Linked DNA regions of Rattus norvegicus. The protein of the gene in region 1 interacts with the protein of each later gene in a pairwise test. Links are inferred from orthologs where the notes say so. Each region holds a gene or a part of one and is shown in the gene's direction. Other genes may lie near its edges.

Region 1 (10,080 bases):
GGGGAGTGTTAGATCCCAGCTTGCAAGCCTTCTAAGGGACCTGCTTTCTAGTGTAAGCCAAATGCATGTCCTACTTTTGACCAAGAATCCTTCCTCATAAGGACTGTTTTCCATTCGCTTTCAAAGGCGGCAAGCAGTTTGCTTGATTTCGTGGTTTTTGAGTTTCCCAACCTGCCTGGAAACTCTGATTCCCTTGCTATTCCCCGCCCCCTGCTATTTTTAATGTTTGTGTTTGTACGAAAGACAAGGAAGACACTGGTCATACTTGAAGAGCATGGAGCATTAAGGGGAGCGGGGCCTCAGACAAGGCAGGAGCACATGTCTTATCTTACATCATTTAAATCCAGAAATTAAAAAAAATATTAAATTATTCATTTATTTTGTAGGGCGAGGTATACACACATGTACACGTAGACACACATGTGCTATGGTGTATGTGTAGAGGTCAGAGGATAACTCGTGGCAATTGGTTCTCTTCCTCCCTCCCACCATGTTGGTCCCAGGGCTTAAACTAAGATCAGCAGGCTTGGTGACAAGCTCTTTTGCCCACTGAGCCATCTCAGTGGCCCCAGGAGATGCAGTCCAGTACGTTCTTGTCTGTGGCTTCTATGAGATGCAAGTATGCAGTTCATTTTGATGGTGTCTTATCAACACATTGTCCAGTCCAGATCAAGTCCTCTGACCTTGGCTCTGTCACGAAGATGGACAGCTTCCTCTTTCTGGTAGCTTGTGTCATCGTGGTACTTGTTACTAAAGATAAGCAGGGCTGGAACGGGGTTCAATCGTTTTGACCACTTGTTCCTCTTGCAAAGGACCCCCCCAGTTGTTCCCAGCACCCACACAGCAGCTCACAACTCTCTATGACGCTACTTCCGGGGAATCTGATGCTCTCTTCTGTCTCTAAGGGCACTGCACACACCTGGTGGTGTACATACATGTAGTAGGCAAAACAGCCATGCCCATAAAGATATAAATCGATGTTTGGATACAACCTAACGCCTTTATATGTAGCCTGTTTCCAAAACGGAGATGATGGAATGAATGAACATATTTTTCTTTCCATATCGGGCCAAAGGTTGAGGGTCTTTTTGAGTAATAATTGCAGAAAACATCTCTGCTTTATAATCAGGAGCCTGTGATCACCTTCATTCAAAATCTCCAGCCAATGGCATCTAGATAAATCCTCGAGTTCCATGTTTTTGTATGGGAAGCAATCTAGATAAGCTAAGTGTACCCTGCTAAAAAGTTTTATGCACAAGGACTCCCTGATACTTTCTACCCAATAATAAATACTGTTAGTGTTTTAAAGTTATCTGATAGTATTCATTGATGTCAAAATATATGTGAGATTTTTTAAAAATCTTGCCTGAAGCTTGTATCTAACCAGCTGTATTAAGTAGAATGTGTTATATTTTCATTCATTAAACATAGAAATGAGACCTATACCACAGAAAGGCTATATATTTTATGTATATGAGTACTGTGTCTGTCTTCACACACACTAGAAGAGGGCATCACATATCATTACAGATGGTTGTGAGCCACCATGTGGTTGCTGGGAATTGAACTCAAGACCTTTGGAAGAGCAGTCAGTGCTGGAAACCATGAAGCTATCTCAGAAACCCCAATGAGACTCTGTAACTCCTTCTACCTGCCTACCATGAGCCATGGGGAAGCCAGGATGGTCTAATGAGATCTTTGTTACAACCTTGTGTCATGTGTCTGAATTCCAGGAAACATGCTGGCCCACCGGGAACGAAGTTCTTTCCAATCATACTTCTACCTGCCCCTTACACACCCCTGCCACACCCATAAAGGGATCTACCTGGCTGTTGATGATTACGTTTTAAACTGATTTAGGAAAACAATGTGGCGTTTGAAAATAGGAGTTTAAGTGCTCCCAAGAAGTACCAAAGAAAGCAAGCCATAGTTTGTGGGACAGGAAAGCTTCTACCCCGGTGAAGAGTTAGGTACCAACAGGCGCCATCTTTAGGCCTGTGTTCACCATCATGAAAGAAGAAGGGGAATCTGACCAGCTCCATGTCACAGAGACAGTTACTAACCCTGGCACTGATTATCAAGCTACAGGGTCCTGATGCTTTTTAGACGTTTAGAATGTCTTATTCTTCCAAATCCCGGGTAAACATTCTAAAACATAAATGCTCCATAGACTTAAGTGCCCATATGGTTTAATCAATATGAACTATTTCACCATAAGTCAGCTTTTTTTTTTTTTTTGGTTCTTTTTTTTTCGGAGCTGGGGACCGAACCCAGGGCCTTGCGCTTCCTAGGCAAGCGCTCTACCACTGAGCTAAATCCCCAACCCATAAGTCAGCTTTTTAAAGTAGAGTGAGCAGGTCAGACAGAAAGAGTTTTGTCCGCCAAAGGTTCCTCCTCCTGCCCCAAACCCAGCAAGTCAGCATGAGGAATTAACTCAGAGATTCGAGTTTCTCCATCACTACCATCTGTCTCTCTCTCACGTTCTCTCTCCCACTGGTGGGGAAGGCAAACGGCCATCAGGGACACAGGCCAAGCGCAGTCCTGGTGCTCGGCCACTTGGTTCAGCGGTTTGGAAAGTACCAAAAATGGGGAAAACGTATAGGCCCAATGTGTGCCTCTGTATGGTTTGCGTGCACGTGCATATGGGCATTGACAAATACGTGACAGCATGCGCATGTGTGAGCGTGTGCATGTAGATGCCAGAGCATGACACCGGGTATCTTTCTTGGTTGCTCTCTACATCTTTACTGAGATTGCTTCCCGCCTAAGCCAAGCTTGCGTATTTGACTAGTCTTAACCAGCCTTCTCTCTCTGTGGATCCCCGAACTCTGGATTACACATTAGCCACCATTTTATATGGCTGGCGTTTATATGAGGTCCATTACGTCAGAAAAAAATGTAAACCTAGAGAAGCTTGCTGGGCTGGCAGAATTGCTCAGTAGGTAAAGGTATTTGGCTGTCAAGCCTTACCAGAGTGTGTTTGATCCCCGGGACCCACACGGTGGAGTGAAAGAATCAGCTTTTGTAAATTGTCCTCTGACAATTACATGTCACATGCATGCTGTAGCATGTGCTTCTCAGCTTCCACACATTCCGCTAATAAATATGATTTTTAAATATGAAAGATGTACTGACAGGGACAGTGAGTGTTCTGAGAAGTTGGCCTACTGTAATCAGAAGTGGGTGGCTTCCTTGAGAGATTCGGGATGCAGCCAAATGTATACGATCCAGATTTCTACCACGGTCCCCAGGCTGTGGCCTTTCTGTGTTTAGTATTCCGTTCTGCAATGCAAACCTCTCAGAGTCAACCCTTAGAATCTGCGATGCTGTATCTGCGGTGCTGGAATTCGTGATGCTAATAACTCTTTTGATGCGAGTGCGCGGATATGTGTGAGTAAATGGGCCTGGTGAATGCATGCACCATGTTCTTTGTGTCTGTGCCTTCAGCCTGCAGCCACTTGTCATGAGAAGGTTGTAAGTGTCCAAAAAGACCCCAACGAATCTCTCGGCATGACCGTTGGAGGGGGAGCATCACACAGAGAATGGGACTTGCCCATCTATGTCATCAGTGTTGAGCCCGGAGGAGTCATAAGCAGAGACGGAAGAATAAAAACAGGTACAAAAATCAAAGAGAATAAAGGCATGGGGTGGCAGAGCCTGGGCGGAGTTAGCAGCCTGCTGGGTTCGCTAACTGCTCTCCCAGAGTCAAGGAGAGCATGTGAGAGGGAGCTGGCCATGATTGCTACGCTCCTTTGGGCAGGGTGAGCATGCTGTAGTCTAGGCTTGCCTCTCTTAGTGCACGGGAGAGGGGAGGAGGCAGCTTTGCTAGGAAAGGTAGCGCCTCTAGACTTTCTTTCTTGGCTGAATTGACAGCCGCTACACCTGTGAGCAAGTTGCACACAATTGCACAATTCTAAAGCACAATTTAGATCCATGCAATCTAACGCCCCTATGGATTCTACGGAATGCTCCAATAGTGAAACTGATTTACGAATTGTACAGTTTTGTGGGCTAAATGGGATGAATGTGTTGATAGATCTCGATTCAATGGTATAATTAAATATCACTTTGCCCATTGGTGAGAAATGGATCTTTCCACTCATGTTCTGGGCTCCTCTACATACAGGAAGGTATCCAGTTTACCTCCGCAGGTATGTGTTCTTAATAACGCTGTTCAAGCACATGAAGAGGTCACTTACGGAGAGGAACAATTGTGCTTCTTAAGGGCTCAGATTCGACAGAAAAAAGTTTCTCAAATATGTTCCCTTGAGTGTGGCATAGTACAGGAATTAAGCAGACAATCAAAAGGTGTTGCTCTCTCTTTTTTTTTTTTAAGTCTGCAAGCATTTGAGGACATCCCTTGTTATTTTCCTCCTGTCTTCAATTATTCTGTATGAAAAAAAAGTTGTATAAGAAGCAAAACAAAAAACCGGAGATTCAATTGAAAGATTAGGGAGCAAGGGCAGGGAGATCCATCTTAATTTCTCCTGCAGCTCAGCGAGCACCGGGGTGAAGAATGACCTCAGACAAGAAGTGACTTAGTGAGATTCCTTGTAGCACGTCACCCATAGGAGTCGTGCTTAGCTATTGCCATGCACAGAGATGCATTGACTAGAAATGGTGACTGTACCCCACCTCTGTGAAAGCTCTGGGCTCTTGTGCCAGACACTAAACTCCTGCTCCGGTCCCTGTTTGTTGGTAGTGTCCTACATGCTAGACTGTACAGGTACTGGAGCCTTTTGTCAAGTGCTCTCATTGTGTGCTAAAGAAAATGGAAACTAAAAGAGTGAAACTGCAGATTGCCTGGGGTTAAGTAGTAAAGGAAGCTATTTAAGGATGTTAGGCCATCCTTAGAGACTCCCAACAAGCCAGTCCCACATGCTCTGCCATCTGCTAAATGGGACCCAGCTTCGGGTTTCTGTGAGCTGAAGATATGCACCTCTCCTCACCCTGCCCATGCGCCCGGGTCAGCCTCTGTCCCGTCACACCGAGCAGAATCCCATTTGCACTCAGTGAGGTTGCTTTTGCTTCTCTGGCCTCAGGTGACATTTTATTGAATGTGAATGGGATTGAGCTCACAGAGGTCAGCCGGACAGAGGCCGTTGCCATACTGAAGAGCACACCCTCCTCAGTGGTACTCAAAGCCTTGGAAGTCAAGGAACAGGAGACCCAGGAAGACTGCAGCCCAGCAGCCCTGGACTCCAACCACAACGTGACCCCGCCTGGTGACTGGTCCCCATCCTGGGTCATGTGGCTGGAATTACCACAGTGAGTCCCACTTCAACACCCCTACGGATTCTATTTCTTAAGCCACTCTTTCACTGTCTTGGGCTGATTCATGGGCACTAGCATCTTGCTAAGACCCAGTCTTCTCTGTGGGGCTGTCTGAAATAACTGTCTTCTTCGGGCAAATGAAAATCCATATAGAAATCTCAGGGTGGAGGTGAAAGTCTAGACAGAGAAACTTCTAGGTATTCTTGAAGTGTTTGTACTTATCAGATGGTTCATGGAGCAGGGGGGGTCAGCTGGCTGACAGAAGTTCAGCCTGTGTTTCCACACTCATGAACTGATTGCATCTGCTCACGCCAAGCTTCTTCTTCGCACGGGTATGAGTGGGAGCTGCAGGCCAGCTGTGGCCCTGCTCTGAAGCTTCTAGAAGCTCTGACTAGACACACAGCAGCACAGCGGAACACCGTGGCTTCAGAGAGTTAAGAGTCTGCTAGCTGGTGATGTTTCTCAGAACATCTCTTTTCAGTGACTCGTCTGGAAAGTTCTTTAGCGGGCAACTAGGTTGCCATTTTTCTGAGGTATAATGGGAGCCTTGCAATGAGCTATAAACTTATCTGACACGATGGATTCAGAGGATTTGGAGAGATCTCCACAAAATGGCTCTGTACATGAATTGACTAAAGGACGGGTAAATTTAACGTTTGCTTCCTTGGAACAGAGCGAAGATCTGCTGGCCTTTAGATTGTTGTCTGCAAGTACGCAGCTTAAACGTTCAAAATGGGTGTCGCCAGTGTTAGGTCCCTCAGAACAGGTGAAATAATGGAAGCAAGGTATTTACTTGGTTTTAAAACATTTTCTTGAAGGTAGAAATGGTTCTTATTTATTTAGTAGCTACAAGCTGGCCTGGATTCCCTTTGGGGTTTCCGCAAGTTCCTAACATTACTTTCTGCATAAGTAGGTCTTTTAAAAGTCCTTAGAACACTGAGTATTGAGGCAAATTATAGCTGTTATAGCCAAACAGGAGACTATTATATTGAGTAAACTTCCTTTAAATGAAATTTTGGAACTATAATCCCAAGTCTGTTTATAGCTTTTGTTTGAAAGCTCCCTTGTTAGGCTCTTCAGTGTTCCTTTGCGTGAGGCATAGAGCATTGGGCCCATGGCTCCTCTCTTCCCCTGCAGGCCACCTGGCGTTTGCAGCAATTCTCTGCACTTGTCGGGAAGAGTGAAAGGACATGAGATGACAGGGACTTCAGACCCTTGGAGCCTTTCTGGTCAGAGGTACCAGAGCAGAGGGAGCGGGAAGTAGCTCTCCTTCCTGGGCCTTTATTTAGTCCACTCAGAAGTAACCAGCATTACCCAGGTCCTGAGTTTGTGTCCAGGGAAAGTCTGTCTATGTCAGAAGTTGATTGTTTCTGCAAAATGCTTGGGCTTGGGCTTATAGGGCACAGGGCCTTGGCAACTGCTCACTCTGCTGCTGTAGCATAAAGACAGCCATAGGCCATCCGTGAACAAAAGCTTCCGGGCTTGGCTGTAGTTCGAGGCCCCAGCCTAGGTATCAGTGTATTCACTCAAACACAGCAGTGACCTGTGAGCTCTTATGATCCAAAGCTTGAAAATTAAACCCAAAAATTGACTTGGGGTGTCACGATAGTCAGTGCACCACCTGTGTCCACTGCTGGCACGGATGGGTTAAACGAGCCACATCTGTGATGGCAGGTGGCAGGTTAGGTGGATATCACACTATTGTGTCACATTTGGTTCTTTAGGGGTGGCACCTGTGATGATCAGGGTCAAGCTGTGTGAAGACAAAGCTGTCTCATGCCCTTCCCTCCACACGTGACCTGTCCTTAGTGTTGAGAAGAGCTGTCCAGTTCTTTCAGCTCTCTGGGGACCCCAGATGTGTGCCCTGGATATCGGCTCTTGGTTGTTTTCTCGACTTTCTTGGTTCTGTTTGCCTGCTTGGCTTGTGCTCCTCACCTGCCCCACTCCCTGTCACTCCGTTGAATGGCTGCTCCTTTGTGACTACTTTCATTTGAGAGGCTTTCCTCAGCGTGTTGTCTTTGATTTTCTTCTTTCCTTCCTTCGTCCCTCTACCCTCCACTCCTTGTGAGACAAAGCCTTGGTACACAGCCCAGGCTGCCATCAAAATTACAGCCATGCTCTTGTCTCTGCCTTCCACGTATGAGGACTATAGGCATGCATGACCATGCCTAGCATCATCTTTGAAATCTCATTCACACTGGGTTCTTGCTCTTCACTCAGAGCAATTGCTGCATGGTATTTTAAATCACAGTGGTGTGATTAATTATCGATTTCATAGCCCATAGAGGCATTTCACTGTGTAACAGTTTTCTAGGGAGTGGCTTTCCTTATCTCTTTCCCGTTACCTCTCCCCACCTGCTCTCTTATGTAGCATTATTAGCTCGGTTGGTTCAAATATCTTTTAGTGGAACTTTTTTTTCCTCCTGGGCAGCTGTCTCCTGAAGGATGGTGAGAGAAAGGGTCAGAGCCATATTCCAGGTATAGGGTGTCTGAGTTCTCCATAACCATCTGAGGTCAGCCTAGCAGGCCACTCATGATGCCCTGCCATACTTAGGCTCCTCTTTCTCATGTGGGTATCTGCTTGGGTTCTCACTGCTTTGCACATCTTTCTTCTCTGCTAAGCTGAACCTGAGGAAACCTGCCTGCCCACTTCTGGCGTGGTTAGCGTGGGCTACAGGGTTCTTTCTGCTGAATTTCCTGTTGTTCTTGGCCCTCTGCCAGCTCTCCCTCACACGTGGTAACTCAATTTTGCTTATGATGATGGCCTCTGCTTCCAGGTTTCCTGGTTGATTTGATAGTGAATTTAACACAAAGGAAACCATATCTACTTCATTCTGCCAGACGAAACTGAATATGACGACACTGACCCTGTTCAGGTCTCAGTCCTGTCCTAGCCTCATCTCAGGGGTACAGCATCAGTTTCTATGGGGTGGGGGTGGGGACTGGGGTGAGGTGGGGGTGGGCATCCTCTCACAGCTGTCATCTTGAGTTCTCAAAGCCCTTACCTACACGTCAGCATTATCCTACATGTCTCCAGACACAGAAGGGAAGTGCTAGAGTAAGAGATTCCAAACCACACCTTGGCATAATTAATTCTATGTTAGATTTAGACTACAATTAAACCTTTACGATACATGCCCAGAAATGTCTAATTTGCAAATACATTTTACCTTTCACTCATCAAAGCATGAGAAAGGATATTTGTCCAAATATACAATCTTGCCAGTTACCTAAAGACCTCTAGGACCCAATGAAGAAGCATGTGTCAGCAGCCGGCTTAGAATCAAGAAAACCATGGGTAGCCTTACTATGCCTCGCTAGCATTTCCTGTGTGGAACCAAACAGCCAGGAGTAAGAGTAGGTGATAGAAAACCAGATAAGAGTGTTAGTAGTTGTGCGCTCCTTGATAGCACCGTCTGCTGCGGGACCCCTGTAGCAGCTGGACTTTCTGCCAGCTATCCAGTTATCACCAGCCATTCAGAGACCACTGGTAACATTTTACTTTGTTGACTCTCAGGGCCCACATTCCACATCTGGAAGTTCTTCAAAGCATGTTCTCATCTGGACTAGCATGATAGAAATACGCATTAACTCAGTTCTCTTCTTGCTTAAGAATTTAACCCTTTCCTCTCCTGAAGCCCCGGACATACTTTATTTGGGAAAGAAACAGGCATCAGTATTTTTTTTCTTCCCCAAGTTAAAAACGTTGACACTTAGAACGTGAGCTAGGCCCCTGGTGTTGATTTATCTAAGACATGCAATGTAAGGGCAGCTACGAAGGCTCTAATGCATATGAGTCCCGAGTAAGACCAGAGCTGCTTCTGGGAGCTTCACATGTGTTTTGCAGTCAAGAATCACATGCTCTGTGACTCAGAAGAAAACTAAGGTTCAGAGCTGCCAGATGACCTGCTCATGCTGCATGGCTGAGCTCTGAGCCGAGCCTCCCACTCCCGACTTAGGCTATGATTTTAATCACGATGCATTAGTAAGTTGGAAGTATCCCCAAAAGAATGCTAAATTAAATGCCTATATTTAGCTTTAGCTGGTTTATGTCTTTGTTTTTTTTTTTTTTTTTTTGTTTTCTCCCAGAAAGTGTTCTGGAGGAGTTCACGTAACAGAGCCCTGCACCAGGATGGCACAGAAAGCTTTCACTACTGCTTGCTACCTTATTTCCCATCATTTTTCCAATCACCTTCCCTATGAGACTGGAAACTCCCATCCATCAAAAACCAAATGGCCACAGCATTTCAAGAGAAAAGTTATTTTCAAAAACGTATTGAACACTTGCCCCCAAGCCTACCTATATTTAATCATGTAAAATGATGCATTTTAATGTTTACTATAACAATGGTGGGACCCTTCCAAAAATAACTATTTCAGAAGATCTGGAACTGCTGGTCAGTAGACATTTACTGATGAAACAATGAATCCCTTATGTACTGAGAAAAGCCTTTTATTGACTTCGGAATCTAGAGGACAAGATGTCCTTAGAAAAGTGCCTACTATCACGAACTATAAAGTAAAAGGTTACCGTAGAAAGCTCTGCAGACCACTGACTTAGAGCACCATTTGAGCAGATGTTTTTATCCCACCTGGATTGGATGAGTTCTTTGCCCAGGTGGTTAAGCATCAACTAAAGACAGACACTTTGTTCATGAGCTGAATGGCTCCCAGTAGCAGAGTGCTAGCAGAGAGCAAGGAATGACACAGGATCCCTAATCCAGGAGTTACTCACGAGGAAGGATCTCTAGATTCTACCCAGAGTTTACAATGGTAATGTTTACAAGTAAGTTAGCTGAACTATGC
Region 2 (10,180 bases), on another chromosome or scaffold:
CTCCAAATAGATTGGACCAGAAAAGAAACACCTCCCGTCACATAATTGTCAAAACACCAAACGCACAAAATAAAGAAAGAATATTAAAAGCAGTAAGGGAAAAAGGTCAAGTAACATATAAAGGGAGACCTATCAGAATCACACCAGACTTCTCGCCAGAAACTATGAAGGCCAGAAGATCCTGGACTGATGTTATACAGACCCTAAGAGAACACAAATGCCAGACCAGGTTACTGTATCCAGCAAAACTCTCAATTAACATTGATGGAGAAACCAAGATATTCCATGACAAAACCAAATTTACACAATATCTTTCTACAAATCCAGCACTACAAAGGATAATAAATGGTAAAGCCCAACATAAGGAGGCAAGCTATACCCTAGAAGAAGCAAGAAACTAATCGTCTTGGCAACAAAACAAAGAGAATGAAAGCACACAAACATAACCTCACATCCTAATATGAATATAACGGGAAGCAATAATCACTATTCCTTAATATCTCTCAATATCAATGGCCTCAACTCCCCAATAAAAAGACATAGATTAACAAACTGGATACGCAACGAGGACCCTGCATTCTGCTGCCTACAGGAAACACACCTCAGAGACAAAGACAGACACTACCTCAGAGTGAAAGGCTGGAAAACAACTTTCCAAGCAAATGGTCAGAAGAAGCAAGCTGGAGTAGCCATTCTAATATCAAATAAAATCAATTTCCAACTAAAAGTCATCAAAAAAGATAAGGAAGGACACTTCATATTCATCAAAGGAAAAATCAACCAAGATGAACTCTCAATCCTAAATATCTATGCCCCAAATACAAGGGCACCTACATATGTAAAAGAAACCTTACTAAAGCTCAAAACACACATTGCACCTCACACAATAATAGTGGGAGATTTCAACACCCCACTCTCATCAATGGACAGATCATGGAAACAGAAATTAAACAGTGATGTAGACAGACTAAGAGAAGTCATGAGCCAAATGGACTTAACGGATATTTATAGAACATTCTATCCTAAAGCAAAAGGATATACCTTCTTCTCAGCTCCTCATGGTACTTTCTCCAAAATTGACCATATAATTGGTCAAAAAACGGGCCTCAACAGGTACAGAAAGATAGAAATAATCCCATGCGTGCTATCGGACCACCACGTCCTAAAACTGGTCTTCAATAACAATAAGGGAAGAATGCCCACATATACGTGGAAATTGAACAATGCTCTACTCAATGATAACCTGGTCAAGGAAGAAATAAAGAAAGAAATTAAAAACTTTTTAGAATTTAATGAAAATGAAGATACAACATACTCAAACTTATGGGACACAATGAAAGCTGTGCTAAGAGGAAAACTCATAGCGCTGAGTGCCTGCAGAAAGAAACAGGAAAGAGCATATGTCAGCAGCTTGACAGCACACCTAAAAGCTCTAGAACAAAAAGAAGCAAATACACCCAGGAGGAGTAGAAGGCAGGAAATAATCAAACTCAGAGCTGAAATCAACCAAGTAGAAACAAAAAGGACCATAGAAAGAATCAACAGAACCAAAAGTTGGTTCTTTGAGAAAATCAACAAGATAGATAAACCCTTAGCCAGACTAACGAGAGGACACAGAGAGTGTGTCCAAATTAACAAAATCAGAAATGAAAAGGGAGACATAACTACAGATTCGGAAGAAATTCAAAAAATCATCAGATCTTACTATAAAAACCTATATTCAACAAAATTTGAAAATCTGCAGGAAATGGACAATTTCCTAGACAGATACCAGGTATCGAAGTTAAATCAGGAACAGATAAACCAGTTAAACAACCCCATAACTCCTAAGGAAATAGAAGCAGTCATTAAAGGTCTCCCAACCAAAAAGAGCCCAGGTCCAGACGGGTTTAGTGCAGAATTCTATCAAACCTTCATAGAAGACCTCATACCAATATTATCCAAACTATTCCACAAAATTGAAACAGATGGAGCCCTACCGAATTCCTTCTACAAAGCCACAATTACTCTTATACCTAAACCACACAAAGACACAACAAAGAAAGAGAACTTCAGACCAATTTCCCTTATGAATATCGACGCAAAAATACTCAATAAAATTCTGGCAAACCGAATTCAAGAGCACATCAAAACAATCATCCACCATGATCAAGTAGGCTTCATCCCAGGCATGCAGGGATGGTTTAATATACGGAAAACCATCAACGTGATCCATTATATAAACAAACTGAAAGAACAGAACCACATGATCATTTCATTAGATGCTGAGAAAGCATTTGACAAAATTCAACACCCCTTCATGATAAAAGTCCTGGAAAGAATAGGAATTCAAGGCCCATACCTAAACATAGTAAAAGCCATATACAGCAAACCAGTTGCTAACATTAAACTAAATGGAGAGAAACTTGAAGCAATCCCACTAAAATCAGGGACTAGACAAGGCTGCCCACTCTCTCCCTACTTATTCAATATAGTTCTTGAAGTTCTAGCCAGAGCAATCAGACAACAAAAGGAGATCAAAGGGATACAGATCGGAAAAGAAGAGGTCAAAATATCACTATTTGCAGATGACATGATAGTATATTTAAGTGATCCCAAAAGTTCCACCAGAGAACTACTAAAGCTGATAAACAACTTCAGCAAAGTGGCTGGGTATAAAATTAACTCAAATAAATCAGTTGCCTTCCTCTATACAAAAGAGAAACAAGCCGAGAAAGAAATTAGGGAAATGACACCCTTCATAATAGACCCAAATAATATAAAGTACCTCGGTGTGACTTTAACCAAGCAAGTAAAAGATCTGTACAATAAGAACTTCAAGACACTGAGGAAAGAAATTGAAGAAGACCTCAGAAGATGGAAAGATCTCCCATGCTCATGGATTGGCAGGATTAATATAGTAAAAATGGCCATTTTACCAAAAGCAATCTACAGATTCAATGCAATCCCCATCAAAATACCAATCCAATTCTTCAAAGAGTTAGACAGAACAATTTGCAAATTCATCTGGAATAACAAAAAACCCAGGATAGCTAAAGCTATCCTCAACAATAAAAGGACTTCAGGGGGAATCACTATCCCTGAACTCAAGCAGTATTACAGAGCAATAGTGATAAAAACTGCATGGTATTGGTACAGAGACAGACAGATAGACCAATGGAATAGAATTGAAGACCCAGAAATGAACCCACACACCTATGGTCACTTGATTTTTGACAAAGGAGCCAAAACCATCCAATGGAAAAAAGATAGCATTTTCAGCAAATGGTGCTGGTTCAACTGGAGGGCAACATGTAGAAGAATGCAGATCGATCCATGCTTATCACCCTGTACAAAGCTTAAGTCCAAGTGGATCAAGGACCTCCACATCAAACCAGACACACTCAAACTAATAGAAGAAAAACTAGGGAAGCATCTGGAACACATGGGCACTGGAAAAAATTTCCTGAACAAAACACCAATGGCTTATGCTCTAAGATCAAGAATCGACAAATGGGATCTCATAAAACTGCAAAGCTTCTGTAAGGCAAAGGACACTGTGGTTAGGACAAAACGGCAACCAACAGATTGGGAAAAGATCTTTACCAATCCTACAACAGATAGAGGCCTTATATCCAAAATATACAAAGAACTCAAGAAGTTAGACTGCAGGGAAACAAATAACCCTATTAAAAAATGGGGTTCAGAGCTAAACAAAGAATTCACAGCTGAGGAATGCCGAATGGCTGAGAAACACCTAAAGAAATGTTCAACATCTTTAGTCATAAGGGAAATGCAAATCAAAACAACCCTGAGATTTCACCTCACACCAGTGCGATTGGCTAAGATCAAAAACTCAGGTGACAGCAGATGCTGGCGAGGATGTGGAGAAAGAGGAACACTCCTCCATTGTTGGTGGGATTGCAGACTGGTAAAACCATTCTGGAAATCAGTCTGGAGTTTCCTCAGAAAATTGGACATTGAACTGCCTGAGGATCCAGCTATACCTCTCTTGGGCATATACCCAAAAGATGCCTCAACATATAAAAGAGACACGTGCTCCACTATGTTCATCGCAGCCTTATTTATAATAGCCAGAAAATGGAAAGAACCCAGATGCCCTTCAACAGAGGAATGGATACAGAAAATGTGGTACATCTACACAATGGAATATTACTCAGCTATCAAAAACAACGAGTTCATGAAATTCGTAGGCAAATGGTTGGAACTGGAAAATATCATCCTGAGTGAGCTAACCCAGTCACAGAAAGACATTCATGGTATGCACTCATTGATAAGTGGCTATTAGCCCAAATGCTTGAATTACCCTAGATCCCTAGAACAAACGAAACTCAAGACGGATGATCAAAATGTGAATGCTTCACTCCTTCTTTAAATGAGGAAAAAGAATACCCTTGGCAGGGAAGGGGGAGGCAAAGATTAAAACAGAGACTGAAGCAACACCCATTCAGAGCCTGCCCCACATGTGGCCCATACATATACAGCCACCCAATTAGACAAGATGGATGAAGCAAAGAAGTGCAGACCGACAGGAGCCGGATGTAGATCGCTCCTGAGAGACACAGCCAGAATACAGCAAATATAGAGGCAAATGCCAGCAGCAAACCACTGAACTGAGAATAGGTCCCCTGTTGAAGGAATCAGAGAAAGAACTGGAAGAGCTTGAAGAGGCTCGAGACCCCAAAAGTACAACAATGCCAAGCAACCAGAGCTTCCAGGGACTAAGCCACTACCTAAAGACTATACATGGACTGACCCTGGACTCTGACCCCATAGGTAGCAATGAATATCCTAGTAAGAGCACCAGTAGAAGGGGAAGCCCTGGGTCCTGCTAAGACTGAACCCCCAGTGAACTAGTCTATGGGGGGAGGGCGGCAATGGGGGGAGGGTTGGGAGGGGAACACCCATAAGGAAGGGGAGGGGGGAGGGGGATGTTTGCCCGGAAACCGGGAAAGGGAATAACACTCGAAATGTATATAAGAAATACTCAAGTTAATAAAAAAAAAAGAAATGAACAATAATTTGATTGCATAGCTTGATAGTAAAACAATTTTATTGTGCTGTTAGCCAAAATATTTACCTACAGTAAACATATAGTTAACATTTCCAACAAATTTACAAAATTATACAATGAGAAGTTAACCTCAACTTTAGAGTATTTTCATTTCTCTAATAATCACGTTGCCCTTCGGTTCTAATTCCATTTATTGTTTTTTGTTGTAGGATACGGAGCTGATATTATCTCTTCTAGTTTCTCTTGCTATTCATAGAGAGTGTAAACTATATCTTTATCTGTTAATCTGCTTGAAACTGAGCTACAAGTGGATAAAGGTCCTCAGCATAAAACCTGATAGTCTGAATCTGGTAGAGGAAAATATTTGGATTATACTTGAATTTACTGACACAGGAATGCATTTTCCCCAGTAGTTAATACATTAAATCCAATTAATACATGGTAACTCATGAACTAGACCGCTTCTGTAAAACAAAAGACACTACACTATCACTTAAGTAACGAGGCAGCCTTTAGAATGGGAAAAACTTTAACAATTATGTATGTGGGATGATGTCACTGGTGAGGCAGGTACAAGATAGAATGAGGCCTGTCATTGGACGAAAAGGAAGGATGGGCGGGAGAAAGTTTTGAAGGAAGAGGAGGAGACAGAAACGGAAGAGGGGAGGAGAGAGGAGCGAAGCCGCGGCAGAACAATTTGGAAGCCTGTGTTTAGATTCCACGCTGTACCTCAGCAGGTTATATATGTTCTTAAGGGATGGATGTGTAATGGGCTTTGTATGTTTAGGTGGGCAATTGTATTTTATCAATTGGATCAAAAATTATTGTGTTGTATCATCTTTCATGTGTAGATTTAAATGTAAGGAAGTGTGGGGCGGCTTGTCTGGGTCGACATGGAGTTGGGATGTGTGTTTCTGGCATGGAAACCTGCCTTGGGACCTAGATAGGTAGAGAGATTTCTTCCAGGCTCAGAGAGGCCTTCGGCAGTGTGATATGGGATGCAGCAGAGCAGGTGAGACGCTTTGCTGACTGAGTTTGGGATATCTATCAGATATCTTGGGGGTACTGTGGTGCCGGACCTAGAGAGGGTATAAGACAGCATTTTATTTTTATAATTTTCAACAACATATATATCTGACACGTTAATATTTAGAGTAAACAAGGAACTACACATCAAGAAAACAAACAATGTAAGTAAAAAATGGGGCGTAAAATTAAACAAAGAGCTCTCAAAAGATGAAATGAATATGACGGAGACATTTTGTTAAATGGTCAACATCCTTAGCCATTAGGGAAATGCAAAGTAAAACTACTTTCAAATTTCCTCTTACTTCAGTCAAAATGACTAAGATACAAATAGCAAGTGATGACAAATACTTGTAGGGATTTGGGGAAAGGAAGCACTTGTTCACTACTTGTTGAAGTTATTCATCAGTGTGTTCACTGTGGAATTAGTGTAGAGTTCCTCAAAACACTGGAAATTAATCTACTGCTTGGGCATATACCAAAAGAACCCTATATCTTACTAAAGAGACACTGTCTCATTCATGTTCAATGCTTCTGTATTTATGATAACCAGAAATGGAAACTCCCAGATGTCCATCAACCAATGAATGGATGGTAAAAATATAATACATTTATACAATGCAATACCATTCACCCATTGAATACTAAAGTTGAATTTTTCAGGTAAATGCATGTATTTGAAAACAATCATTCTGAATGATGTAAAACAGACACCCTCCTCCCCAAAGGACAAATGTTGATTGCTTTTACTTGTTGCAGATGCTAGTTTTGCATCTTCAGATTTGTGTATTTATTTTGAAATGCCCATGGAAGTCAGGAAACTAGTAAGGACATATGGTGGGGCATAGGATGCTTTTAAGGGACCAATTAAATGATGCAATCATTTAAAGGGAGAAAAGGGAATAGTGAAATAGGAGGAATGAATAAGGTGGGAGATGGGTAAACTGGTTAGAAGAATATATACATAGAACAATAACAAAAGATCTATGTACAAAGTCATATGGAAACCTATTCCCACATATATTGGAGCTGTTAGCCAGTGAAGTCCCATAGACCTCCAACTATTAAATGCTATTGATATTGCTCTTGGTTATCCTCCAGAACTTGACAGTAAGACCTTATTTCTGATGACACCGCATACTTGAGTCATAGAACAGAAAGAAGTCAAACTGGTATCCATCTGATAGCTTCATTCTTACTGGATAAATTCCATGTTGCTGAAAGGTGCTATGTACGTTAACAGAATGGAAAAATAATCAGTAACTAACTCAGTTGTACAATGGTGGCATGGATATTTTAAATGTAGTAAACTATTTTTTTTCATTTAAGGCCTGTTCCACAAGATGAAACACATAACTAGCACAATTATTGAGGGCAAGAACTTTTGATCAGGTAATTCATAGTCCCTAGGGAAGAATTTGCTATTATTATTCTGCTAAATGGACACAGTGTTAGTATAAAACTTAGCACTATGCTAGTAGATTTGTGGGTAGTTCAACCCTCATCACCGTCATCGGAGTAGCTTCTTTTTGAAGTAAATGGTGCTAACATAAAGAACTAAAAGCAGCTCCGGTGCACTAGAGTAATAAACTACAGAATTCTCAGCCCAAATATGATAAGTGAATCATACCTCTTCACCCAAGTCAGGGATTATTGCAGAAGAAGGAGTGAAAAAGAATGTTAGAGCTTGTCAATGTGGATAAGGACAAAGAAACAGTACTTTCTGGGAACAACTATGTGGTTTCACATGAAACCCACAGTCACTGAATGTATACAACCCGTGTAAGTTCAAGCCCAACAGAATTTCACCACGGGGAGAAGAGGTGGGTATATTTCACATCTATGTGAAGACGATTGTCAGTTGATGGCTTCTAAAAAAGGAAGCATCAGTTTTGCTTAAGGGTGTGGCTTAAAGTCTAATGGATGACCCTATACCCAAGAATATAAAGATAACCCAAAGCAGACTGGATGAGTTAAAAACAAAACACAAAACCCCAAACACAAAACCAAACCAAAACCCCACAAAGTTCGGTGGGCAGGACAAAGGGCATGAATCTGGATGGTTTTAGAAGAGACAGTGGTGAATATGCTCAACTTGTATGAACTTAAATAACTAACAAAAGTACTTTAAAAGAAAATGGACATATACAGTATGATGGTATTTTTTTTTCCTGCCATTTTCAGTTTGTATAATTTTCCATTCCAGCATCAGTGTGTTAATGCCAATTCTGTGTGCCCTTACTGGCACGTGACATTTTCACATTTTCCTTACTATTTTCTTGTTTATCTGGCAGGGCTGTATCTCGAAGTTTCACCCTCTTTTTTCCTAGAACTTCATGATATTCTGCATCTTCACCAGTGATTTCTATTGGTGCATTTTCTCTTTGGAAATGTTGGTTCACATATTTTTTCATGTTAAATTCTATTTTCTCATTATTCAATGTTTAAAGTTTTTCATGTACTTTGAATAGCCTGCCAGTAAAAAAAATATGTAATTTTAAAATCTGAGTTTCATAACATATTTTATAGCCTATCATATAATTATATTTTAATTATGTTTTCAAGAATACAAGCCTTAAATTTCAAGTCAAATATATGGTTTTCAAGAATTGTGTTTTGATATGCTTTTCAAACAACAAATATTTAACCTGAGATCACAAGATGCTCTACAATGTTTATTTAAGGAATTTATACTTTTAACTTTTATAGTTAGGTATATGAATAGTTTTGTGTCAATTTTATGTATACACTAGAATTACTGACATTCATATTTTCCACATTTATAGCCAATAGTTCCTCAAACACTTTCTAATATGGTTATGCTTTCTTCACTGTATTACTTTTGAAATTTGATGAACAATTCTTTGATATATTTGTTTAATTTAATTTGATTTGCTCTTTATTAAAACACAATTACAAAATTCTACCCCATTAGCTTCTTTATAACCTCCCTCATGTTCTCTTGCCAGTCTATATCATTTTATGGCTTCTTTAAAAACTTATTATTGTTAAACACATACAAACATAATGGCATGCCAACAGGTGATGTTATTTTTTACAAGTCTTGTGTAAATAGCCATATTTTTAAGTCATCATAGGTATAGCTTCCCTATCATATCTAGAAGACATACTCCTACTGAAACCTCTTGGTTCTATGACTTTTATAATCTTTCTGTCCTCTTTCCCTTATATTCTGGGCTTTAGACGTAGGGATTTTATTGTATTTTTATCAACTGGAACTAAATATCCCATGGTTACGGTACTCTGCATTTCCCTCAGTGTAGCTTCCTGTAATGGTGTCAATATGTTGTAAAAAGAAGCTTCTTTGAGAAAGATTAGAGCTAAACTACTCTATGAGTATAAGGATAAGTATTTACAGTGTTAGAAATTCTACTGCTTTGGGAAAGTAGAAGTAGTTTGCTTTCCTTTAGGATACATATGTAGTTGGCTAGGTTTGCAGTACCAGGCAAAGTACATGCCTTGAGTTCAATTAGCTGTTATTTATCATGGAACAAAGAGCCACCATTTCACCATAGGGATTATTTCCTCTGTCTTCTCATTGTAGTGATTTTAAAGACTGTGTGACTGAATAAGACTATTGGTTGATTGCAATCTTTTGGTATTAGGAAAGTTAATAACCAGATATAAAGCTTTCAGGTCTGATGCACTTTAATTCTTCCAGGTCCTGTGTCCAAAACATATGGTGTCTTAATTTCATGTTCTAGAAAGAAACCAAGGGCCACAGCAGTAGCTTATATTATTTTGGGGAGTTTTTCAGACTCTCCTTACCAACAACTTGAAAGGAAATTTCATGTCTTGCAGAGTTTTTTTTTTTCTTTTGATAGTGGATGGCTCTTTAGGAGAGCATTATCACTCCATGTGTTACACACACACACACACACACACACACACACACACACACACACACACACATATGTAACAAAATCAAAGACCCCAAAAGAGTACATGTACATAACCACACTCCTCTGATATTTGAAAAGATGCCAGTAAGTTCAATTGGAGAAAATACAGCACTTTTAACAAATGGTGCTGGAAAAACTGGTTGTCATTACACAGAAGAAATAAATTAGACCTATATATGTCACCTTGTACATAAATCAACTCCACATAGATCAAATA
Region 3 (10,180 bases), on another chromosome or scaffold:
TCATAGGCAGCTTGGAGTGCGTGTGCGTGTGCGTGTGCGTGTGTGTGTGTGTGTGTGTGTGTGTGTGTGTGTGTGTGCAGTCGCAGAGGATCAATCTCCAAAGCGGCAGAGATGACAAGATTGCAGACTGCAGTGAGCAGTGGCAATAGTCAATGGCTGGTAGCTTTAGTCCTCTATCCTGATAGTCATGTGGGTTTTGGCTACATGATTGAATCCCAGCTTTCCCGAAGACAATGTGACCTGCTCAATGCCCCTTAGTGCATTCTTTCCCCAGTGACACCCATCTTGTTCCATGCATCTCGGAACTCCCAACATATGGCTGAACACAAACTCTAACCTCAGGTCCTGGAAACAGAGGTTGAGTGGCGGTCTCCCCACAGTCTGTCATCTGTTCACTACTGTGGCTATGAATTATCCCCAATGGCACATAACACGAAGACATGGACACTAACTCAATTACAGATGGTTGTGAGCCACCATGTGGTTGCTGGGATTTGAACTCAGGACCTCTGGAAGAGCAGTCAGTGCTCTTAACCGCTGAGCCAGCTCTCCAGCCCACAAGAGAAAATTTAAAGTGCTAGACCCTCTGACTGGTCAGGAGAGCAGCTCCTGGGCTGGTGCTATCCCTTTAGGCTGGGTCTGCCTGAATGAATTCATTTGGAGTAAATCTGGCTCACCTGCGAGGAAGATCTAAGCTCAAATGGTCGTAGCTTAAGATATAAAGATGGAAATGGAAGTGGATATCGATATAGATGCATATGTGTATATATACATATATGTGTATATGTACATGTACATACATATATGCGTACATATATACACATACATATATATCTATACATACACACACATTCTCACACACACACCACACACATACACACATAGTAACTCAATTAGTAGTGTGCTTGCCTGACATGCATGAAGCCCTGTGTTCAACCCTCAGCATTGCATGGACTGGACATAATGATTCATGTCCCTGATGCCAGCACTCAAGACACAGAGGCAAGCAGTTCAAGGTCATTTTCCTCTCTGTGGCAAGTTCAAAGCAAGTCTGAAGACCTTGTCCACAAATGAACACACTTCTGTTGCCATCCACCACTTTGGGGTTAACAACAGCTATCTGATAGACTTCCTTTTTTTGTCTTTGTGGTCCTTTCCTGCTGAAACTACTCCAGGGTGTTTCCTGCTGATCAGACACATTGAGGCTCTCAGCTGAACAGCATAGATGTCCTGAAGGTTAATATACTGTCAGAGCATACTCCAAACCACCTTAGAAGATGCTCATCCTTTAAAATCACATTAATATTTCCTTTGAATCTTTTAGTGTTTCTATTTGGAAAGGCTCACCAGTTGGAACTACATTTGGCTACAAGCAAATAAGGGACATATTGGATAAGGAGAGGAACCTATCGATTTAAATGGCCTTTAAAGATGAAACTAATTCAAGGGGCTGGAGACACCGCTCAATGGTTAAAACATTTCCTGATCTTTCAAAGGACCCAGGGTCAGTTCCCAGAATCCAGGGTTGGGTGACTCACAAGTGCCTGTAACTGCAGCTCTAGGGGGATCCAATACCCTCTTCTGGCATCCACAAACACCTATGCACAATTTTAATATTGTCAGGTATATCTCAAAAGTAAATATTTGAAGATAATAACTTCAAAATTCTCCCAAACCCCACATGTGATCATTGTAAGCCAATGAGATAAGGACCTCCTTTGGGAAGCCCACACCCATGCTCTTAGTTATGTCTTCCTTTCTTCTCAAGTGCCTCCCTGTCTCTTAAAGTCTACCTTTAAATTACTTCTTAATAAACTACTCTAGGGCCAGTGAGATGAACCAACAAGTAAAGCCACCAAACCCGATGACCTAAGTTCAATCCCCGAGACCCTCGTGGAAGAAGGGGACAACCAGCTCTCATAAATTGTCCTCTGACCCCACCCCCAATCCCCGACCCAGGCACTCGTATGACCTCCCGAAATGCCTCCGGGAACTTCCCCAGGGACTATTAAATCAAACAAATAGTTTGTTCAGGGAGCAGGTGTGGGTTCTTGAACTTGAGGAAGCTAGACTCATCTCTGCTGTCTCTGATGACTCAGACTTGACCCAACCCATCTCGGTCATCTCATGATTAGCTGGTGGTACTGGATCAGGTATAGACTGACCAACTTCTTGCCACAAGCAGGCAAAGAAAATGAACCCATAAACATCACTGTGGGAGGATCGGGAGAAAGTTTTTTTTTTTTTTTTAAGATTTATTTATTTTATATAAGTACATTGTAGCTGTCTTCAGACACACCAGAAGAGGGCATCAGATCCCATTACAGATGGTTGTGAGCCACAATGTGGTTGCTGGGATTCGAACTCAGGACCTCTGGAAGAGCAGCTGAGTGCTCTTAACCACTGAGCCATCTCTCCAGCCCCCGAGAAAGTATTTTTAAGTGCATCGAGTTGAATACGCTCCTTAAATGATTCACCACTTTTTTCAAGTTTCTTCTGGACTCTGAGCACACAAGCTGGGAACTTCAAGCATCATTAGACACGCATGATACGACAAGGTCTAAGGCAGGCAGAGCAAGAAGTCTGGAGACAGAGTGTAGCTTTCAGATGATGCCAAGCAGCTGCCCTGAGTCTTAACCACCTTACTACCGGTTGTGCTGTGGTTTTATTTTGCTTTGCTTTTTTGAGATAAGATCTCACTGCACAGTTCAAGTTGACCCAGAATGACCTATGTAGCCCAAGACAGCTTCATAACTTATCTCTTCATCCCCAATTTTTTTTAAAGATTTATTTATTTTATGTTTATGAGTGTTCTATCAGCTTGTATGCCTGCATGCCAGAAGAGGACATCACATCCCAGTATGGATGATTGTGAGCCACCACATGGGTTCTGGGAAATGAACTCAGGACCTCTGGAAGAGCAGCCAGTTCTCTTAACCTCTAGGCCATCTCTCCAGCCCCAGCCCCAAGATTTTTTTATATGCATGTATATTTGTATGTGTTCGTGCGGATGTGGATATACAGACCTATGGGTGGTTATCCGGGTCAAAGGGATAACCTCCAGTGTCATAATCAGTAATGCCACCATCAGTAATGCCATCTATTCCTTTTTTTTTTTTTCTTTTTTTCGGAGCTGGGGACCGAACCCAGGGCCTTGCGGTTGCTAGGCAAGTGCTCTACCACTGAGCTAAATCCCCAACCCCAGCCATCTACTCCTTTTAGGCAGGCTCCCTGTTGTTCTGATCCTTGCCTCCGAAGCTCTGGCATTAAAATCCTGCCGCCACACCTGCTATTTTTTTTTTAAAGATTTATTTATTTTGTATATGAGTACACTGTAGCTGTCTTCTGACACACCGGAAGAGGGCATCAGATTCCATTACAGATGGTTGTGAGCCACCATGTGGTTGCTGGGATTTGAACTCAGGACCTCTGGAAGAGCAGTCAGTGCTTTTTTTTTTTTTTTTTTTTTTTGGTTCTTTTTTTTCGGAGCTGGGGACCGAACCCAGGGCCTTGCGCTTCCTAGGCAAGCGCTCTACCACTGAGCTAAATCCCCAGCCCCAGTCAGTGCTCTTAACCACTGAGCCATCTCTCCAGCCCCCCACACCTGCTATTTTTATATAGTTCTGGGGACTGAATTCAAGTCCTCAAGTTTGCAATTCTTTGCAAAAGATTTACCAACTGAGCCATTTCCTTAAGCCCCACATTTTTCCCCCTAGCAAGATGTTCTGCACCTGTTCCCAGTTCTGTGTTTCAGTATTTGTTTTCTTCTGTTTTGTTTCCCCGAACTTTTTTTATTTTAATTTTTTTTAAATGTGTATGCGTGTTTTGCCTGCAAACGGTTTTGGGTATTGTTTGTCTGCCTGGTGTCAGTGGAGGCCGGAAGAGGGAGACAAATACCCTGGAACTGGAGTTAAGGAGGCTGTGTACCACCATTTGGGTGCTTGAAATTGAGCCCAGGTCCTCTGGAAGAGAAATGAGTGATTTTAACCGCTGAGCCATTTCTCCAGCCGTCCCAGAATTTCTTTGAATAATTCTCTTGGAGAGTCACAGCCTTCTCTCTGAATACGTCTGAGTTCCAGAGCCCTACTGGCGCGCACACCTAGGAAACTGTCTAACCTAAAGCAAATGTATGTTTGGTCCAGTCGGGGTATCCACCCTACACCAACAATGGGGACACATCCTTGCAATCCTGATACTCAGTAGGTACATGCACGAGTGGATGTCAGTCCAACTCGAGCTACATAGTGAGTTCAAAGCCATCTTGGAATTTTATTACTTTTTCTTTGGGGGACTGGGGAGGAGTGAGCGTTCGTTTACCATAGTTCGCTTTTGAGGTTAGCATATAACTTGTAAGAGTTAGTCTTCCACCACGGGCTCCAGAGATAGTACCCAGGCCTGGCGACGAGCACCTTTATACGCTGAACTATCGATTAGGTTCAAAGAGCTACGAACTACGAACTAGCTTCGAAACCATTGCGCAGGCGCCAGCCCCTAGCGTGCTCTCCTGAAGACCCGCCCAGAAAGGACTCCTGGAGCATACGCACACCACAGCGTCGCTGACACGCCTCCGGAAGCACTGGCAGTTTCGGGGGCGGGATCAGAAAGCGTATCCGAGGGGCGAGAGGCTCGGGCGGAAGTTGTCCCCGCGGTGGCGGCGGAGAATAAGGCCTTCGTACGGCAACAGGGACGCTCCGGTAGGCTGGAGCTGGGAGCGCGGAGCCGTCTGAAGGTACGGCGGTGTGGGGAGGCTGGGCGCTCGCGCGCGAGGTCGCGGTCGGGGTCACGAGTGTCCGCGACACGGGACACTGCGTTCCCTCCGACGGCGGTGATGCGGGACGGCGCGAGTGATTCCGAAGCCCCGGCTCCCCGGTTTGGAGTCCTGCGGCCTCCCGGGCGACCTCCTGGCCAAGGTCACCCGGCGGCAGGTGCACCGCAGGCTCGAGAGCTTGGAGAATCCGCCCCCGGGGCGACCTCGGGGTCGAGCCACCTACGCGCGAACCGACGCCGTGAAGGAGAACCTCGCTGCTCTGAGTTTCGCCTCTTTGTCAGACCGTTGTCACCTGTTTTTGTCCTCACCTGGCCTCTTGTCAGCTGGAGTTTACACTTTGCATCTCTGGTGCTGACAGTCTTTGGACTTTGTCTTTACCTCTGTCTCCTCTTTTCCTCAGTGTGTTTTGACCCTGCTACTGTCCCCTCGGGCCGCCCTTTGGTTCAGGGCCCGAATGTCACACCGACTTCTTGGCCATTTGTCTGGGTTTTTTTCTCTCCCTCCCAACTGGGTTTGTTTAGGCAGGGCGGGCCTTGCCTGGACCTCTGAGACATGGAAGGTGACTCATGACCCTGTGAAACTCCCCTGCCCAGGCAACATTACCAGTAGTCTGACTACAGTCTGGCCTCAGTTCTGACAAGTGTCACCAAACCTAGCAAAGTGTCACGAGCTACTGTCCTAAGTGAAGTCCCATCTCAGGATCTAGGCAGTTCAGTGTATCTTGAACTTCTCTTCCCAGAGGTTTGCACTGGTCTCCACAACTCTTTGCTCTTTCCAGGAACCCCAGGCTGCCTTCAGGACTGTTTGGAAGTGCCCTGCTTAACCAGGCCAGCATCTACATACAGGCTTAGGGAGGGCCAGACTTCCACCTGCCTTTGAGACCCTTAACTTAGCACAGTAGCAGAGTCTCTAGGAGCAGCTTAGTGAAGAACTTAAAAAACGTAATAGAAATTGATTCCTTGCTTGTTTCCAAAGTACTGTCTGAGAGGAAGACACAGGGATGAACACCGAAACTTTTGGAATGGAGCGTCTGGGACAGACAGGACACGAAACATAATATATCAAGTGCCAGGCCGCCATTCAGTAGATACAGTTTTAAGAGATGGTCAGGACATTCTAGAAATGGTTTGTGCACATCAGTGTGAACGATGTAGTGTCAACACAAGTAACCGTGGTTTGGAACACTTAATTGAATCCCTTTTCGTGATGCAAGTCAAGCCCCTCACAGCAGCAGGCTCAGCCGAGGCTTAGGAGATTGGGGCCCTGAGTGACTTTAATCTTGTGGCAGCACTTTTCCACCTCCCTCCCTCCTGGCCCCTTTAGAGTCACTGCAGAGATCTACTGAGGGGGAATTTGAGAAACACAGTACCTTTGACAGGCAAAGAACTTGTAAAGCTGGAAAAAAATACTCCTTTATTGGCGTAGAAGGTGGTCTGTTCTTTTTTCATAGGCTAGGCCTTTTGGGGTTTGTTTGTTTGTTTGTTTTTTCTGATTTACCTACCTTTAAGGTCTTTTTTTTTTTTTTTGGTTGGCTGGCTGGCTGGTTGGTTGGTTGGTTGGTTTGGTTTTAGTCTTTGCTTTTTTCGAAACAGAGTTTCTCTGTGTAGCCTCGGCTGTCCTGAAACTCACTCTGTAGACCAGGCTGGTCTTGAACTCAGAGATCCGCCTCCCAGGTGGTGAGAATAAAGACCCGTGCCACCATGCCTGGCCTTGTTTTGTTTTGGTTTTTTTGAGACAAGATCTCTATAGGGACAGGCTGGCCTCAAACTCTGAGATACTCCTGCCTCAACCTCCTGAGTGCTGGGGATTAAAGACTTTTGCCAACGGGTTTGGCTTCAAACTTTCTAATATGCCTAACAGTTGACTTACTGTCGTATTTCATTGACTCTTAGATGCCACCAAGTGTTTTCTGTTTCACCAAGAAAAGAAACCCTGCCTGGAGCAGAATTCATTCCCAGCACTTGTGCTTCTTCGTCCTAATTAAAACACTTTGGCTTAGAGTTTTAAAGAATGAAATCAGTGCACACTCTATGGGTCTTAGAAGAGGAGAAACATAAATAAAGAGCCATCAGCTAGCACCTCAGGAGATCCCGGCTTTGGGAGTCCTTTGAGTACTGTCTGCTTCAGAACTGTATCTATAGTTCTTCCAAGTGGAGTCATCCCTCGTGTCATCAGAAACTGTTTGCCAGGAGTGCTTTAGTCATTACCCAGTAGCCACAGCTGTTAAAACTGCCACATACATCCTGTCTGGTGGAGCCCAGGTAGCTCCCTGAACTGAGGAGATGAGTGCACCTGCTGGCCGCGCTGCTTAGCCAACCCTCAGAGTGGGTCTCTAAACCCTCACAGACCACATGCTGCTGCCTCAGTTTTCTTTCCCAGCAGAAGTCCCTTCCAGGGGTGTGACACTGTCATTAACAGTGAACTGAGGACAATAAGTGTCCTTAGACAGCTGCTTTGAAGGCAATGGAGCCTGACCAGAACGCTCTGACTCAAGGTTTCAGGGAAAGGGCAACAAATGGATGGAACGGCAGGAAAATCCGTGGACGTGGAGGCCAGAGTTGCGTGGGGAGAAAGCAGTAACAGGGTGGTGGGGTCCTGGGAAGCAACCTACGTCAGGGAGCTTTCTCCGGGTTTCCACACCATTCTGAAAGGTTTGGAGATCGAGGGGGACCACTGAGGGTAACATTCTAGAAGAGTGATGCCCTGCACGGGTAATGTAGACACTAGTGCGGCAGGGGCTCAGGAGGGCATGAGAACCGTGGCAGAGGGTCCCTTAGTGGTGTAGAGGGAAAAGAGATTGACAAGTTTCTCTTTGGTTCTGCAGTTGCTTGTTGCTGGGGGGTAATGGATGAGTAGTCACTTGTGACTAAGACCTTTAGGTAATCAATATGTATCTTTCCTGGCCAGCCATTCCTGGGTTTGACTAGGCAGGAAGGCAAGAACCTATAGAAACATCACTTTAGTTCAAGAGTCATCACACAGCTCAGCCAAGATGGAGGAGTGGTACAAAATGGCCTGGCCCTGCTCAACACTGCTGAGTGTGACAGCCTGGGTTTGATCCCCTGCACCCATGTGGGGGCAGGAGAGGACAGGTTGTCTTCTGACAATAGGAAAAGAAGCTAAAGTGTAATAAAACTTTATTTAAAAATACCGCAGAAGCCAAGAGTTTCTAGAATGAAAGTTCTTAATCAAAAATTTTGCTTTGATGGAGTCCTGCCGTGTAGGGTTAGTTCTGGGATTACTTTGACTGGCTAGCAGCAGCCATAATCACTGTCTGCCCCTCATACTGTTCATCAGGGAAGCACATTACACACAAGTCCCGTTTTTCTTATAAGATTTAACTTTATTTGCCTATGTGAGTATGTGCCTGCATGCCATGTGTATTGGGTACCTACAGAGGCCAGAAGGAGTTGGGTCCCCTGAAGCTGGAGTTATGAGTCACCTGACATGGGTCCTGGGAACTGAACTCAGATCCTCTGAAAGAGCGGCAAGAACTCTTTAACCAGTGAGCTATCTCAAACCCAGCACCTTAAGTTTTTGGGGTGATTTTTCCTTTCAGAAATGAGTGTGATTTAATTTACAGCAAAACTGAGAAGTGCATTCTCTCTGTATCCATTCAGACTGCTCTTCGATGGCCATGACATAAGGAACATTATCCTGGGAACACAACTTTGCTCTCGGGTAAGCCACACAGTTACTAATAATGTATTTTTTAGGACTATGTTGAAATAATTTTCTATCACCAGAACAATGTAATTTTTCAAGTTTGTTTTTCAATGTTTGTTTATATGTGGGGATGTTTGCCTTCATGTGTACCTGTACAACATGTGTGTGCCTGGTGCTCACAGAGGCCAGAAATGGGCATCAGATCCCCTAGGATTGGAAATGGTTGAGAGTTGTCATGTAGGTGCTGGGAATCAAACCTGGGTCCTTTGAAAGAGCAGCCAACGCTCATAGCCATTCTCTAACCCCTCGCCAAGATTTTAATGGGCTAGATCAGATGATTCCTCCGTAGAGGAAATGCTGTGCATTTTAATTTAAGGCTTCTCAACTATGCTACCTTACATTAACAAGGCCCTTAATTTCAGAGGGAAGTTTCCGCCAAATGATTTTTTGTTTTTTTTACTTAAAAAAGTATTCATTAGAATTGGAGTTGGACGTCTGAGGTGCCCCCATCCCCCACCCCCACCTGCGTGCTTCCGCTTGCTCTCTGAACCCAGTGGGATGTTGAGGCTCTAGGGTCCGGGTTTACAGGCTGTTTTGTGGATGCAAGGCATTTGACTAACAAGAGGAATTTTGGTAGGTACAGGGTGTTGGTATTTTCTACGTTTGTGCCAGACTTTAAATTTCCTAAAGTAACATTTACCGCGCTTGCTGTGCCTTCTACAGTGAGCATGCAAATTACCATATGCTCCGATTACAGCCATCCCTGGAGGGCTCCAGTACTGGAGCTGGTAGGCCTGCCTCCCTGTTTCTCCGCTGTCTGCTCTTTTAGGGTGTTTATTCCCTGTTGAAGTGGTGTCTGAGATCTGATACAAGGTTTTCTTAGCTGAAGAATAAATAGTGTCTACTGCTCAGCTCGTCAGCATGGAGGGTGACAGAGGCAGTCTGTTTCAAGAGAGACTTCAATACAAGGAAGGCCCCTTGCCTTCTGCATTATTTTGATTTTATTTTTAATTTTTTTTTTTTTTGGTTCTTTTTTTCGGAGCTGGGGACCGAACCCAGGGCCTTGCGCTTCCTAGGTAAGCGCTCTACCACTGAGCTAAATCCCCAGCCCCTTATTTTTAATTTTTATTACACTTTTATTTACTTTGTTATGTGCATGGACCTGTGCCCACCACATGTGGAAGTCAGGGGACAACATGGGAAAGCCAGCTCTCCATCCACCATGTGTGTCCTGGGGATTGAACTCAGGCTTGGTAGCAGACCCCATTACTCACTAAGCCCTATCTATCACCAGCTCTGCTCTTCGCTTTAAAAAGCCGTGTAGTAGCAGCTGATGCTGGTGGTGCACATCTCTAATGCCAGCACTTGGGAGGCAGGGGCAAGCAGATCTCCGAGTTCCGGGCCAGCCTGATTAACAGAGTGAGTTCCAGGACAGCCAGGGATACACAGAGAAACCCTGGGGGGCCGGGGGGGGGTAGTTAGGGAAGGCATATAGCTTCTATGAGTGATGAATGAGTTGGAATTGGCATAGTTAGAAGAATCATTGCTCTTGGAGTTTTAAAATTATGTGAAAGGTGACATAAAATGGCTTGTTCATTGAAATCTGATGTTGACGAGTACCCAACTATTATTAATGGTTTGCTCGTAATCTGAATTAGCTGGTGTGGAGGCACTACCTTATAATCCCATCACTGAAGAAGCCGAGTCAGGAGGATTGCCCCAAGTCTGAAGCTATCCTGAACAGCA

Evidence for each region.
Region 2: the proteins of Lnx1 (region 1) and Ldoc1 interact in a two-hybrid assay, tested with the Homo sapiens proteins (2 studies listed by BioGRID and IntAct). The link is inferred for Rattus norvegicus from reciprocal best matches to the Homo sapiens genes LNX1 and LDOC1.
Region 3: the proteins of Lnx1 (region 1) and Zbtb43 interact in binary tests that used the Homo sapiens proteins (3 or more experiments, as listed by UniProt). The link is inferred for Rattus norvegicus from reciprocal best matches to the Homo sapiens genes LNX1 and ZBTB43.

Annotation. Positions count from the first base shown.
Region 1 is NC_086032.1:33,956,835-33,966,914, forward strand, and holds part of Lnx1 (E3 ubiquitin-protein ligase LNX), read left to right. Parts: intron 1-3,447; coding exon 3,448-3,616; intron 3,617-5,042; coding exon 5,043-5,268; intron 5,269-10,080.
Region 2 is NC_086039.1:144,996,092-145,006,271, forward strand, and holds the start of Ldoc1 (protein LDOC1 precursor), read left to right. Parts: upstream 1-5,675; 5' UTR 5,676-5,751; intron 5,752-10,180. UniProt on the Homo sapiens protein: May have an important role in the development and/or progression of some cancers.
Region 3 is NC_086021.1:37,155,935-37,166,114, reverse strand, and holds the start of Zbtb43 (zinc finger and BTB domain-containing protein 43), read left to right. Parts: upstream 1-4,629; 5' UTR 4,630-4,729; intron 4,730-8,388; 5' UTR 8,389-8,449; intron 8,450-10,180. UniProt on the Homo sapiens protein: May be involved in transcriptional regulation.